Linked DNA regions of Caenorhabditis elegans. The protein of the gene in region 2 purifies or fractionates together with the protein of the main gene of each other region. This does not show direct contact. Each region holds a gene or a part of one and is shown on either strand. Other genes may lie near its edges.

Evidence for each region. The genes of interacting proteins can lie anywhere in the genome.
Region 1: the proteins of gpch-1 (region 2) and nduf-5 fractionate together in Caenorhabditis elegans (co-fractionation; one large-scale study listed by BioGRID). This does not show direct contact.

Annotation. Positions count from the first base shown.
Region 1 is NC_003279.8:2,999,636-3,006,164, forward strand, and holds nduf-5 (NADH dehydrogenase [ubiquinone] iron-sulfur protein 5), read right to left. Parts: upstream 3,213-6,529; 5' UTR 3,203-3,212; coding exon 2,969-3,202; intron 1,961-2,968; coding exon 1,829-1,960; 3' UTR 1,725-1,828; downstream 1-1,724. Other genes in the region: dnj-28 (J domain-containing protein), read left to right, coding at 1,180-1,631; Y54E10BL.3 (CcoQ/FixQ family Cbb3-type cytochrome c oxidase assembly chaperone), read left to right, coding at 4,550-4,577, 4,628-4,711, 5,899-5,966; Dual specificity mitogen-activated protein kinase kinase mek-2, read right to left, coding at 6,394-6,529.
Region 2 is NC_003281.10:4,406,140-4,414,617, reverse strand, and holds gpch-1 (G patch domain-containing protein 1 homolog), read right to left. Parts: upstream 6,068-8,478; 5' UTR 6,054-6,067; coding exon 5,996-6,053; intron 5,952-5,995; coding exon 5,484-5,951; intron 4,883-5,483; coding exon 4,351-4,882; intron 4,136-4,350; coding exon 3,608-4,135; intron 3,357-3,607; coding exon 2,504-3,356; 3' UTR 2,411-2,503; downstream 1-2,410. Other genes in the region: mpc-1 (putative mitochondrial pyruvate carrier 1), read right to left, coding at 1-107, 156-302, 1,021-1,161; putative peroxiredoxin prdx-3, read right to left, coding at 6,270-6,359, 6,538-6,969, 7,016-7,174; RNA-binding protein rnp-4, read right to left, coding at 7,515-7,622, 7,930-8,175, 8,226-8,300.

The DNA of each region.
Region 1 (6,529 bases), on a different chromosome or scaffold from region 2:
AATGAGTTTTATGTCTAAAAATTGGATAAATTTCGTCATAAAAATTATTAAAACAACGGAAACCATTTTTAAAAAGGGCGCGAAATACCTAACGAGACCCAGTCGTGGGGGGCGGAGCGATTGAACATCGATTTTGCAAGCCGCCGCACGCTTTTATTTATTTTTTCCTCGTTTTTAACAGGAAATTTCGAACAGAATTCAAATAAAAATGGATTTTTACTGGAAATGCTTTTTTAAAATTTTTTTTTTCCAAAAAAAATCCGATTTTAATTAGTTCGAATTTTTCTGCTGAACATGAGAAAAAAATCTGCGCCGCGCAGAAAAATGGGCGGGGCGTAATTTTGCAACCTTCTGTGCGGGGCAGGTTTTCGCAAGCCGCCGCACGTTTTTTCCTCATTTTCAACAGAAATTTTCAACGAAATTCAATGAAAATCGGATTTTTCATTCGGAAAATCAATAAAAGGAGGAAAAACCGTGCCGCGGGGTTGCAAAAATAAGCCCCGCCCCTTTTTCTGTGCGGCGCAGGTTTTCGCAAGCCTCCGCGCGTTATTTCCTCGTTTTAACAGAAAATTTTGACGAAATTCAGAATTTTTCATTGAAAAAAATCAATAAAAAGGAGGAAAAACCGTGCCGCAGGATTGCAAAAATAAGCCCCGCCTCTTTTTCTGTGCGGCGCAGGTTTTCGCAAGCCTCCGCGCGTTATTTCCTCGTTTTAACAGAAAATTTTGACGAAATTCAGAATTTTCCATTGAAAAAAATCAATAAAAAGGAGGAAAAACCGGTGCGACACGGTTGCAAAAATAAGCTCCGCCTCTTTTTCTGTGCGGCGCAGGTTTTCGCAAGCCTCCGCACGCTATTTCTTCGTTTTAACAGAAAATTTTGACGAAATTCAGAATTTCTCATTGAAAAAAATCAATAAAAAGGAGGAAAAACCGGTGCGACACGGTTGCAAAAATAAGCTCCGCCTATTTTTCTGTGCGGCGCAGGTTTTCGCAAGCCTCCGCACGCTATTTCTTCGTTTTAACAGAAAATTTTGACGAAATTCAGAATTTCTCATTGAAAAAAATCAATAAAAAGGAGGAAAAACCGTGCCGCAGGATTGCAAAAATAAGCCCCGCCTCTTTTTCTGTGCGGCGCTGCTTTTCACGGATTTATCGATCATCAAAATCTAATTTCCAGCAATCGCTGACTACGAAAAAGCCGAAGAATGGGATTCATCAAACGACGCCGTCCGAACTGGAAAAGATCAAGCAAAGCGTGCAAAGGAACTCGTCGGAAAACGAGATTACTACAAAATTCTCGGAGTCCGCCGGAACGCCAATAAACGAGAAATCACAAAAGCCTATCGAAAAATGGCTCAAAAATGGCATCCGGACAACTTTCAGGATGAGAAGGAGAAGAAGAAAGCTGAGAAGAAGTTTATCGATATTGCCGCGGCGAAGGAAGTTTTGAGCAATGAGGAGAAGCGGCGAGCTTTCGATAATGGACAAGATCCACTGGATTCGGAAGCAGGGAGGGGTGGAGGTGGAGGTGGAGGATCACACGGATTTCATAATTTCCACGGATTTAATCCATTCGGCGGTGGTGGTGGTGGCGGCCGTGGTGGCGGCGACTTTTTCTTCCATTTTTAATTTCATATTTCATTATAGATATAGATATTATTGTGTCATTGGATGTGTTACCCGGACTATTATTGATCTCTTAACTTGCTTCTTTTTTTTTTTATTATAAATCTTTTTATGTACTTAGAAAAGATTAAAAAGAAAAAAGAAATGAAAACTACAAAAAATAAGGCGATTTCTCTCGAAACTAAAGGCACTTCAAGTATCTAGTTGATACGATTCCACTGGAAGTGATCAGTCTTGAATTGTCCCGGTTCTGGATGATTGTCGACGTATGGCTTCGCGATTTTTCCGTCGAGGAACAGCTTGCAGCGTTGTTCACGGATGGCGTCAGCTCTCTGGAAAATTGTTTTTCGATTATTTTGGAATTTCATGTGATGTTTTTTAAAGGCGCACGGGTTTATTCAGATGGGTCTCGATGCGCAGAAAAAAGATTATGGTAGTTTTTTCTCTTTCAGGGCAAAAAAACTGGAGAACACACATTTAAATTTTTAGGAAAATCGAAAACCAAAAATATTCGATTTTATCAACAAAAAAAATCCAAAAGTTAAAAAACCAAATTTTTCAGAGTTTTCGATTTTTCTTTTCTTTAGAAATAGGAGAAAAATCGGAAAAATTGCATGAAAGAAGACGAGAAAATAAACTCAAAAATCAGAAAAATGAAGGAACATTTTTTTAAATTAGAATTTTAGAAATTTCCGGAAAATGAACGAATTTCGTAATGAAACTGCTCAAAAATTTTTAAAAAATTTTTATGGCGGTTCAAAATTTTGAAAAATAACACTGATTTTAGCTAAAATCACGAATTTTTCCCATTTTTCCGTGTCACATCTGTCCGTAGTTGGCTTTTTTGGAATTATCGTCCTTTATTACATATATTGGTAGTTTATCTCATTTAATTTCGTCGATTAAAGTACATTTAAAGCCGATAGGTAACCAAAAATCATCGAAATTGGTTACCTATCGGCTTTAAATGTTATTTGATCCACGAAATTAAATGAGATTAATTACCAATATATGTAATAAAGGACGATAATTCCAAAAAAAGCCAACTTCGAACAGATGTGACACGGAAAAATGGGCAAAATTCGAGATTTTAGCCAAAATCAGTGTAATTTTTTCAAAAGTTTGAACCGCCATAAAAAATTTTTGGAAATTTTTTGAAAAGTTTCATTACGAAATTCGTTCATTTGAGAACATTTTGGGTCTATACGTTCAAAATCGTCCGAACCGTTAGTCCTCCGTTAAAAGAATAAATTCAAGGGATCAAATTTATTTGGTTTTCACTAATTTTTTGTTTTTTAGTCCAATTTTTTTTCGCGACAGTTCTGTTCCGGATATCGAACCTTCTTCTGTTTATCCCCAGTGACACACTCCTGGAAGTCACGATGCTCGAGATCACAATACTTGCGTCCCATCTTTGCTCCGTAAGCCTCCATACAACGGTAGAATTGAGATTCAAAGAATCCGCAGATACGTCCCTGTTGGGAGAGTGGAACCGAAAGAGTATCGGTTATTGGAGCCTTTACGATTGGTGACAATGATGTGAAGTTCTCCGGATTACGGTTACCAGTTGCCATTGCGGATGTTCTGGAATTTTGGAATTTTATTATGAGTTGAGAAGCAAAATATCGATTTTTCGGTTTTTTTTTCAGAGATAATCAGAAAATGTTTTAGAAAAAAAAACTAAAATTTTAAAATCTGTGTTAATTTTTTTATGTCGATGAGGAAATGCATAAATAGGAAAAAAAACATTTTTCTCAAAAAAAAAGAAGAAAAATAGCTAAAATTTATAGACATGTTTCGAAAAAAAAAAATAATTTGTCTAAGTATCGGAAAATCGAAAAAAGAAACACACTAATATTACGGAAACGCAAAATTCTGAGTGACCCGCAAAATATCTCGTAGCGAAAACTACAGTAATTCTTTAAATGAATACGGTAGCGTCGATTTACGGGATATCGATTTTTTTTAAAGAAAATTAATTTTAATATTCAATCGTTAAATTAATTAATTTCAAAAATCGAGATCCCGTAAATCGACACAACCGCTACAGTAGTTATTTAAAGAATTACTGTAGTTTTCGCTACGAGATATTTTGCGCGTCAAATGTGTTGTGCAATACGCATTTTTAGAATTGTGTTCCCGTAATAATTTCAGAATTACCCAAAAAATCCTAAAATTAAATACTGTTTGGATAAAAAGGCACGCTACAAGATCAAAAAAGCCATGAAATGTAATTTTTGTTGAATAAATTTCGAAAAAATGCCTCGAGAGAAGAAAAATCATGAATAATCTCAAACTATCACGCAAAAAAAAGGAAAAATGGTGAAAAATCCCAGATTTTGGAAAAATTTCAAAAAAAAATTCCCAAAAAACTAGATAAAACCAATAAAATATTCTTCTAGAAAATTGCTTTTTTTTCAAAAATTCAACAAAAATTTTTTTTTTGCAAAACCTATTCGCAATTTAAGCTATTTTTCCTATTTTCGGTGGATCCCAGCAAAATTTCAGCAAAATTCCATCCATCTACTAATTTTTCCGCAAAAAATCGCCAAATTTTCCAAATCTTTGTATTCAAAAATTGTTGAAAGTGGATTCCAAGTTCAAAAAAATTTCGTCAATTTATTTTTTTTATTCATACTAACTTTTCTTCAGGAAAATCGGCTAATTTTCCGAATCTTTGCTACTAAAAAATTGTTGAAAATCCACAAAAGTCTTTTCCTCTTTCTCCCAGTTTATTCATTTTATTATCCGAGCTTCTCCCCCCCCCCCCTCTCTCGTCTTTTTCACATCTTTTTCGTAACGGAGGTCTCCTTTTCCGTTTTCTTCAACGCTTTTCGCAGCACACAAAAATCGATATCAAGCGCAGTAGTGTGTGCTCTTTCTCTCTCGGAGCAAGAAGGCAACTTGGGGCTCTGTCAAACATGGACGCCGTCTATAATCTCGTTGAATGTGAGTTAAATATATTAAATTAATTTCAACCGATTTTCATGAATTTTCAGCTGTTCACGTTTTTATTCCTGTCGTCGCGCTTCTCGTCTTTCTCACAGTTATTTATATTAATTCGAAAACTCCTGATGAGCCGGGTGAGTCAGCTTTTTGAATTTTGTGAGAAAAATATCGATTGACCCAGGCGTGTGCGGAAATTGCCGGAATTTTTCATTTTCGGCAAATTGCCTATTTGCCGGATATCGATATGACGGAAATTTGTAGAGCGATTTTTTTAAAACGGAAACACTCCAAATTGTGCCTTTTTAAAATTTTTTCCCATTTTTCGTTAGATATTTTCATAGAATTTTTAATTTTTTAAAATAGATGTAAGAACATTCATTGGATGCCTTTTTTAAAAATTTCTTTGCCTATTTAAATTGAAATTCTTCAAAAGTTCCAAAAAAATGTGCAAGGCCACAATTTGCCGGAAATTGTCGATTCCGGCAATTTGCCGATTTGCCGGAAAAATAATTTTTGGCCATCTTTTGCCAATTCCTTCTGTATTTAACATTAAAAATACTCGATATATATCTTTTTTTTTTAGATTTTCAGGTAAAAATCGATGATGTTTTTTTTTCTATGAGAATTTTTAGTTAGTTAAAAAATTTTCGATTTCCGGAAATTGATTTTTCGAGAAATATGTCAAAGTTTTGGTCATTTTTTTTTAAAATAAAATTATGTTAGATTTTTCTCATGAATATAAACAACATAATTTTCCAATTATTTTCGGGAAAATATAAAAACTAATTTTTTTTTCGATATTTCCAAAAAAACAAATCTATTTTTCGAGAAATCTCTCAAAATGTTGGTAATTTTTCGTTTTTTTTTGTTTTTTGAAAAAAATTGCAGGGTTTCCTATGCTTTTTCTCATCAATATTAGCTTTGCTCCGAGAAAATCCGAAATTTTATTTTTTATTTTTGAAAAAAAATTCGTTTTTTTTTCGAGGCATTTTCAAAATTTCGATAATTTTTTGCCTTTTTTAATGAAAAAATTTTTTTTTTCCTCAAAAAACAATTTTTTTTTTCGATCATCTCTGAAAAAAAACCGAGTTTCTCAACGAAACCCTTAGTTATAATAAAAAATAAAAGAAAAATGCAAATTCGGGAGCTTCAACCGACTATAAAAACCAACGAAAAAAAACTTAAAAATTCAAAAATCAAATCAAAATACTTTAATCTTAATCAGAAGCGGGACAGAAATGTGGAGGGAAAAATGGGGAAAAATCTACAAAGTAAATGAAAAATAGTCTAAACTAAAGAAAAAAAAGAGGAATACTTTCAGATACGGCGCTGAAGAAAGCGACTCAAAAAATGACACCGAAGGAGCCGAATGCAAAGAAATCGGATTGATCTCTCGAGATGGCAATTGAGAAATTGAAGAAATGCTCAAAAAACTGTGGAAAATAGAAAAAAAATCAAATATATCTTAAAATTTTGGCCATTTTTCTTTTTGTTTCTCATCAACATACACAAAATTTAATTTACAAAATTAAATTTTATGATCAATTTTTCGATTTTCCTTTTAAAAAATCGGCTATGTTTTTCGCCAAATCTGCCTAAAAATCACTTTTTTTAACAAATTTTTGGGCATTTTTCAATTTTTCCAACTCTAAAATAGTAGCTATTTTCTGATATAAGAATTATTTTTCTAAATATTTTCCATCACAAAATATCAATAAAAATATTGGCTCATTTCGTAGAATCACCCCCTGGAGCTGGAGCATCCTAGACAGTGAGAGACAAAGAGACATCGAAATATACAAAAATCCAAAATTAATTATGGATTCAACTTTGGTAGATTAATCGTTCCCTTCACAAAAACCGCGAATTCTCCCTGATCATCGTGATCTGCATATTGTGTGAAGAAGACGTCTGCGGTGAGAGATTTTAGGGTTGCTCGTTCACTTGGAAGT
Region 2 (8,478 bases):
ACTTCCGCATCGTGTTCGTGCTCCAAAACCTCCTTTTTCATCATCAATTTATGGTGGACGGGATCTTCAACGTAGTGCAGATAGTTGTGGTTCACAAATCGACCGAGCTGAAAAAATTAAAAATTATCAACTGGAGCTGCTGTTATGGAGTATACCTGAGCTCCTTGAGCACTGAAGTTGGCAAAATGGCAAGCGAAGAGCAAAAGATTTCGTGGTTGAACGTGCCACGCGAATCTCATGAAAACACTCGAGTAGATCAGAAGAGCTGACGTCATTGGTCCACTGATCATGTCAGGATTTTTCTGCAAAAAAAATTATAGAAAATTTCACAAAAAATTTGGAACGCTTCACGAATTTGCGTGTCATCCTTGCGCAGGGGCCATGCTAATCTTCTCTGTATTGTTCCAATTTTAGTATATGTTCTCGGAAGAACAAGACATCTCGCAATAGGAGGTGTTTATATAGGGGGGACACAAGAGGCGGCAGACATCTCGTGAGTTTGACAGAGTAGTATAAAGAGTGTGTGTGAGAGGGTGTAGGCATTTCATAACATATTTTTTGTGGAATAATTTTGGAAAAAAGGTGTTTTTTTAATAATAGCTTTTATAAGAGTTTCTCAAAAATTGCATGCTTTTTTTGAAAAGGTTGACAAATTATAGTAGTACTAAAGTTGCTATTTTCAGGTCTCAGCAGAAAATTCACAACTAAAAATAAAATTTGCAAAACAGAGTGTGCGCCTTTAAGGTGTACAGTTTTTTATTCCTTTATTGCTAGTTTTTTTTGTTAAATTTTTGGGAAAATATATTTTATTTCATGTGAAAAAAATTGATTAACCTGCAAAATTTAGAAAAGCAAGAAAACATAATTACGACTACTGTTCTTTTTAAAGGCACACACATTTTCAGCACTTATTAAAAAAACCAAATCTGGCTATGGATTAAAAGCGCTTTTCAATTTTTAAACACCCAATACAAAAGTAACGTTTTTTCACCCTAACTTGTCTCTAAAAAATGCAGTTACCTTCAAATCTCCAAGAGCAGCCAACGGAAGTCCCCAGTTAGCCACTGGTCCCCAAAAATGAGTTGACAAGAAGTAATGCTTCCATTCGGCGGTGGAATGTTGCTTGAAATATGTCGTCACTTTTGATATAACTCGAGACATCTGGAAATATGAATTTTTAGGTTTTAAGCTTTTTAAAAATATGTTCGAAAATGTTCATTTCGCTGAAATCGCGTGAGAAATCAAGAAAAAACGTCCGATATATATTTGGGTTTGATAAGGAACAAAAAGTGATAAGCAATCAAATCAGTATTTTTGTTCAATGATGATAAAATAAGGAAAACCCTCTGTAGAGAATTAGAGAAAAATGGATGAGAGAACGAAAATAAATAATTGTTTTTGTCAGTGGCTAAAAGATGATATTGATCTTTTTGGTTCCATTAGAAGGTTTAATTTTGATTTTTCAGAAATTGTCTTTAGGTTTTAAATTCAAAAAAAAATTGAAGCATGGCCGTTAAATTATGAGACTTTTGCTCCAAAAATACTATACCGGGTCTCGACACGACTAATTTCTGTTGAATGAATCGGCTTTTCATAGCTTTTCGATAAAAATATGTTTTCAAATTAAAAATTGAGGTAAAACAATAAAAACAGAAAAATTCGAAGAAATAATGAGATCTCATTATTTGTTGGATTTGAGAAAACAATGAAACATTTTTTAAAACTCAAAAAACAAAAGTTTGAGAATACAGTACTCTTTAAAGGCGCACACCTAATCCCACTCAACAAAATCTTCGTGGCAAGACAACGTGTCGATTTACGAAGCTCGTGTACTCCTCGAGGAAAACTGTGTGCATTAATTTATCGCGGATAGCTTTGTTTTTAGCCAATAAACTTGATTTTTAACCATTTTCGCTAATTGTTTTATGTATAAAACATTAATTTACCAATTTATCCCACATTTATAGTATTTCATGTAAAAAACCAATGCGTTTACTGCTGAAAACTACAAAAAAACTAGAAATTGTAGTTTTTCAGCATTAAAATTTGTTGGGTTTTTTTTCTAATTAATTTTTCTAATTTTTCAAATTAAAAAAGGTTTTTCAAATGCAATTCAAAAAATGTTTCTAAAGGTGCCGGTTAATATTTGCAGACTGAAAAAATGGAAAACAAATTGTACTAATTTTTAACAGAGAAAGCATCTGAAAAACTAAAATCTTTGAAAAATTGAAATTGAAAACTCATTTCTGCTCGAAAAATGTGACCTCAGTGCACGAGTTCGCAGGAACCAAACCTCACAATCCTTGAGAGAATAGAAAGCGAGAGAAATAGAGAACGAGAGATGCAGACAATTTAACTGGGGACAAATAGCCACACGGGAGGAGAAGGATAGTTCAGACATCACTTTGAGAAATTTTATGTTTCATTTTTACAAGTCGAAACCATAGTAATATATGATAATAAATAAATAAATAAAAAAAATTAACAAAATGTTTAATTCAGATTATTTCTTCTCCTCCCATCCATCGGAATTATCACCGGAATCGTCGGCACTAGACGAAGAATGTTTCCTCTTTGTCTTCTTTTCTTTCTTGCTCTTTTTTGATTTTTTCGATTTCTTCTTCTTTTCCTTCTCCTTCTTATCCTTTTTCTTTTTCTTCATATTCTTTTCTAAAAGTTTCAGTACTTCCGTTTTTGAAAGAACTGGTTTTGAAGATGGAGGAAGAGCTGGACCAAATGAAGATGCAGAAGTTTCATCAATAATCTGAATATCATCATCTTCCTGTTGCTTTGAAACTCTCAGCAAATCCCTATTTTCTAATTCTTTTAATTCTTTTTCCACTCGTTTTCTGTTCTCCTCCTCTTTCTTCTCAACTATTTCCCTTCTTCTTTTCAAATCCTCTTCTCTTTTTTTCAGAATCTCTTGCCGTTCCTTCTCTTCAGCTTCTTCATCTTCACTATTACTCTCATCTGAGTCTGCACCGTCTCCATCTCCAAAAATGAAATCAAAAAACGATTTTGGAGCTTTGTCTACCTTCTGATTGTTAGGCTCGGCTTCATTTTCCTCTTCTTCATCAGAATCCTTATCATCATATTCTTTCTCATCGTCATCATCTGATTGATTTCTTTTTTTCTCTTCTGCTCCTCTCTGAGCTCTCGATTTCAGAAGTCGCTCCCTCATTTCAATTTCATTTGCAGTGTTCGGAAGTCCCAACGTTGCCGAGACTCCACCAATATCTGCTAATCGATCTTTCCGCTTCCAATCAGTCTTCTGAAGAGCTGGAACTCCGACAGTGTCTGATCCAGGATATGGATGGGGAACATTGAATCGTTTAGCGAGAAGATTGTCAGGATACCTGAAAATTTAAAAATTTCTACATTTTTCAAAGGGACTAAATGGCTAAAACTAGCCCTAAACAAAAAAATTTCATAATAAGAATTCTCAGAAAATTTCTAAAAAAAGAGCCAAATATTGTAAAATCCGAATATTCGTCATCTTGATCTTGTTGCAGCACATACATTTTTTTGCCTTTTTTCGAAATTGTTTTTTGAGAAATCTCATTATGAAATTCGGTCGTTTTAGATGATTCTCAATTTAGAAACATACCAATCAAAGCTTTGCCTCGTTTTTTCTCCAAACATTTCCATTTTCACAGCGGCTAATTTATCCTCATCCTTCGTTCCAACTTTCAAATCACCGCCAGCTTCTTTCACAAATTTCGAAGCCATCATTTCATGAATCGGCGCTGCTATGGCAGTTTTTGCAAGTGGCTGAGCCCTGGATTGTACTTCTGGAAGCATTCCCCGTTCGTCAGATGTCAATTTTGACTCGAATTCTTTCTTTTCCCACTCCCACTCCCAGACAGTCAGATCAGTGGGCTGAGGGTACGGTAGACCACGTCGAATATAATGAAGAAACTCTTTAAATCGAGCTTGTCGCATAGGCTCATCAGGGAATTCAATTCGATTCCGTTGTCGTCGATCCCGATCTTCTTCTGCTTCACCACCACCACGCTCATTATCACGTTTTTCGACTTCATTTGCCTTGATATCCCATCGACTTCTTCGTTCTGTCGGTTTTTTGGAACTTTTGCCTCCAATTTCAAGTGCATTCACGCGATCTTCACCAAGGAATCTGAAATAAATAAAGTTCAACAAAAATATTCTAAAATTGACCGAAATTTAATGATGAGAATGGCCAAAAAAATGTTCCAAATAATTTTCAGGTCAAAATTCTCGGAAAAAGCTGAATCGATTTACGTTTTAAAAACCCGTAAACTCAAACTTTAGCAAATTTCGGAAAACAAAAAAAAGCGAAAAAATATGAATTATTGTTAATTTAAATCATACTTTGCTCTTTGCTCCGCATTCATATGTTTTACATCATTCTTCATCATTTGTGGAAGTTTCGAGATATCCATTGGAATCGGACGATGATCGCCTCGAAAATTCGGCGGAACTCTTGGAGGAGCATAGAATTTTCTTGGATTAAGCCTCTTTGGCTGTAATTCAAATGCAGTAACCAATTTCTGTGTTTTCAAATTACTCTCTTCTGATGCTCCAGCTACATCCAATGAAAAATCAAATTGCGAGAGATCATAATTCGAATAAACACTTTCATCTTCTTCTTCAAATGCTCCAACTCCGAATGCTTGTCCTTTTATTCCTTTGCTATTTTTCTTTCCGGATTTCAAAGCCAAAGTTGTTCTACCGTATGACTCATTAAGTACAGTAGTCTTACGAAGACCTTGATATCCTATTCCATGAGTTCCAGTTAATGGGGTCAGTTGTTTGACAAGAGCATCTTCATTCGAAAATTCGTACGCTGGAGCCACCTTTGAAGCTTGCTCGCGGTCGAATTGGGCTTCCGACGACTCGCCGCCTGGAAAAATTAATTTTTTTTGAAGGAATTGATTATTTGGTTAAAGGAGGATTAATCGATAAAAATCTTGGTTTCTTGGACTCAAAATGGCCCAAAAAGACCGAATTTTAGCACGAGAATCTTCAAAACTAATTTTTTTTATTGAAAACACAAACCGAATTTTGCCAAAGCGTCTGGGAATCGATATTTATCTAATTTTTTTTTGGGAATTTAGGTACATTTGGACCAGATTTGATCTCTAAATGTTCTTAAATCCACGAAAAAACGCTAGACGAACAACTTTGAAACACAGAAAAAACAACCCAAAAAAATTCCGGCACGGAAAAGTTGACGAAATTTGTTAAATACCGCCATAAAACATTTTTGAAAAGTTTCGGTGAGGACTCCGCTGTAAAAAATTCAAAATCGCCTCAAATCCATCCTGAAAAACCACAAAGAAAACACGAAAAAATTGCCAAAGAACGAAAAATCGCACTCCTACAAACGAGATTTTTCTTCTTTTTTTGCGATGTTTCCCTTTTTCCATTATGGATTTTAAGAATTTCAGACTAATTTAAACTTTTTTTGATAACTCCTCCTTCAATTAGATATGCTCTCGAACCTCTCTTCTGTTTCTGTTTAACATTTGCCAATCCGATGCCTCGTCCTTCTCTCCATCCCATTGATCGGAGCATCCGTACTCCTATCGAATTACTAACAGGCTTCACAACATCCTCAAACATCTGAGTTATCGTTGAAATACTTGTCGTATCCCGTTCCCAAGCCATTTTCCTTTTCTGTCCAGCTCCTTCACCAAATGCCGCAGTCTGTTTTATCGATCGATTCCCTATTCCATATTCTCCAAGATCTTCTGCATCCATAAAATCTTCAGCTCTTTGTTTTATTTGTTCTCCACGTTCATTCCGAGATGATGAGAACACTTGAGGAACCCATCCTTGCTTTGATCCAACTGTATTCCAATAACCAGCTGAAAATCCTCCAGTGAAGGCTCCATGGAATCTCCGTTTTCCTTTTTCATCTGTTGCTATCTCTTCGTGGATTTGAGTTGGCTTTTTTGATACAGAGCTTCCTGAAATTATTTATTTTTTTCCTGAAAACTGTAAAATTGCAGACCTTCTTCGTCATCATCTTCGAATTCCTGACCATATGCTGCTAATTTTTTCCTGTTCATTTATTTAGAAAAATCTGAAATGAAATTCACATTTTTTTCCAAAACTTTTTAGGAAACAAAAATCAATATTTTAATGGATTTTTCTGAAACCGTATATTTTCCAAAATTAATTTCAAAAAACTCGAGCTGAATGACACCTATTTATTTAAACCGACAAACTAAATCATCAATATGATAAATACAAAGAATAAAAATAATTGTTCTGTTTCTGTGTGATCACTTGTTGACCTTGTTGAAGTATTCCTTGCTGGTAGCGACTCCTGGCTTGATGGTTGGAGAATCCTCATGCCAATCAGCTGGGCAAACCTGAAAAATTAATTTTTTATTCGTCGAAATTTGTTTTAATGGACTAAAACTAGCCCGAAACGACCGATTTCCTTTTCAACAAAAATTTAAATATTTTTATGGCGGGCCAAAGTTTCGGAAAAAAAACATTGCATTTTTTTTGCTAGAAATTAAATTTTTTGTAAATTTCAAAATTCACCTCTCCGTGCTTATCAGAGAATTGGAATGCCTTGAGCACTCTCAAAGTCTCATCAACAGATCTTCCAACTGGAAGATCGTTACAAGTAGTGTGACGGACAGTTCCAGATGGATCAATGAGGAAAAGTCCACGGTATGAGAGTCCGGATTCCTTGTCGAGCACACCGAACGAGTCGGCGATCTTCTTGTTGAAATCAGCGAGCAAAGGGATGTCCATATCACCGAGTCCTCCGTCCTTGCGTGGAGTGTTAACCCAGGCCAAGTGAGAGAAGTGAGAATCACACGAGCACGCGACAACTTCAGCTCCAAGAGAACGGAACTCGTTTGCACGATCTCCGTATGCGATGATTTCAGTTGGGCATACAAAGGTGAAGTCAAGTGGATAGAAGAACATGACGAGCCATTTTCCTTTGTAGTCTTGATCAGAAATCACCTGGAATTAATTTTTGAAAAAAATATATATATTTGTTATTTTTAACCTTGAAGTCTCCATCAACGACAGCAGTTCCTTTGAAAGCTGGGACAGTATTTTTTGGTCCAAGTGGACGAAGTGACAAAAGAGCACGAGATGTGCTCAACTGGCGGGTGGCAACAGTAGGAACCGTGCGGCAAAGAGCTCGAACAGCAGAAGAAAACATCTGCAAAACTCAGATATTCAGAAATCTTTTTTTCCAGAATTTGATCTACGAAACAATTGAAGATATCAAATCGTTCCAAACTGGTTAACGATAAAAAGAAAATAGCAACAGCAGATAATTGAAAAATGGTCATTTTATTCACTGTTATTGCATGTGTCACATAGATAACAAAAATCGCAAAATTGAGAAGAGCGAGCGAGTTGAGACCAAATAGATATTTAAAATTTCGAATGGTAAATTGGGAAAGAGGACAAAAAATAAATAGAAAAGGAAAAACTTAACAGTGACGTGTAAAAAAACATAAAACGTGGATTGGAGAGGACAATTAAGTACGTGGTTTTCAGCGCTTTCCAGAAGTCTTCTTTCCCTTGACGAAGCACCAATCGACTTTGACATTCTGGCCGAGAAGATCTGTATCGTTGCTCTGATCAATAGCTTCGTTGGCTTCCTGGAAAATAAATAATTTATATTGATACCAGCCGTGGACCGCACCTCCGGCGCGGCCCCCCACTTCTGGGGCTGAAAACTAATTTTTCTGAAACTACCGTAACCCTACAGTATTCCTACCGTACCACTATTGTACCACTACAGTACCCCGACTATATCCCTACACTAACCCCAACTCACTATCCCCACAGAAGCCAAAACTTCACAGACTACAAAGACTACATAGACTACAAACTATGGACACACAGAATAAGCGCTTTATATATAGTAAATGATTTCGATAGAAACGACGACTGCTAAAATATTACCTTCTGCGTTTCGTACTCCACCAGTGCGTATCCCTTCAAAAAACCGGTTCGTCTGTCGAGATTCAAATGAATGTTCTTAATTTTTCCGTACTCGGAAAACTTGTCATGAACATCATCTTCTGTTGCCTCTTCGTGAATGTTTGTCACGAAGACAATCCATCCTTCAACGGATCTTTGTGGTGCTCCGCTTGTGGCAGACGACTCTTCATCGACCACGTCGTAGGTGATCCTCTCGCGATTGCGACTCTAGAAAAATATATTATTGATTATTGATTACAAAATTCGACAAAATTTACCTGCGCAAGTCCTCGACCTCTTGATCTCTCGGCGTTGGCCACCACATCCTCCATCTCTACTTCGTTGTCGCTCATTTTTCTCTTCAAGCGATTGAGACGATCGGGCTCTGAAATTTTATTTATTTATATTTTCAGTTAGATCATTCAGTTTGAAAACCGCCACAAGTTCCTATTGGAAAGAGCAGTTTACACGAGAAAATGTAGAGAAAAGATCGAGGAAAGAATAAATTAAAAGAAAGTGCACATTAAAAAT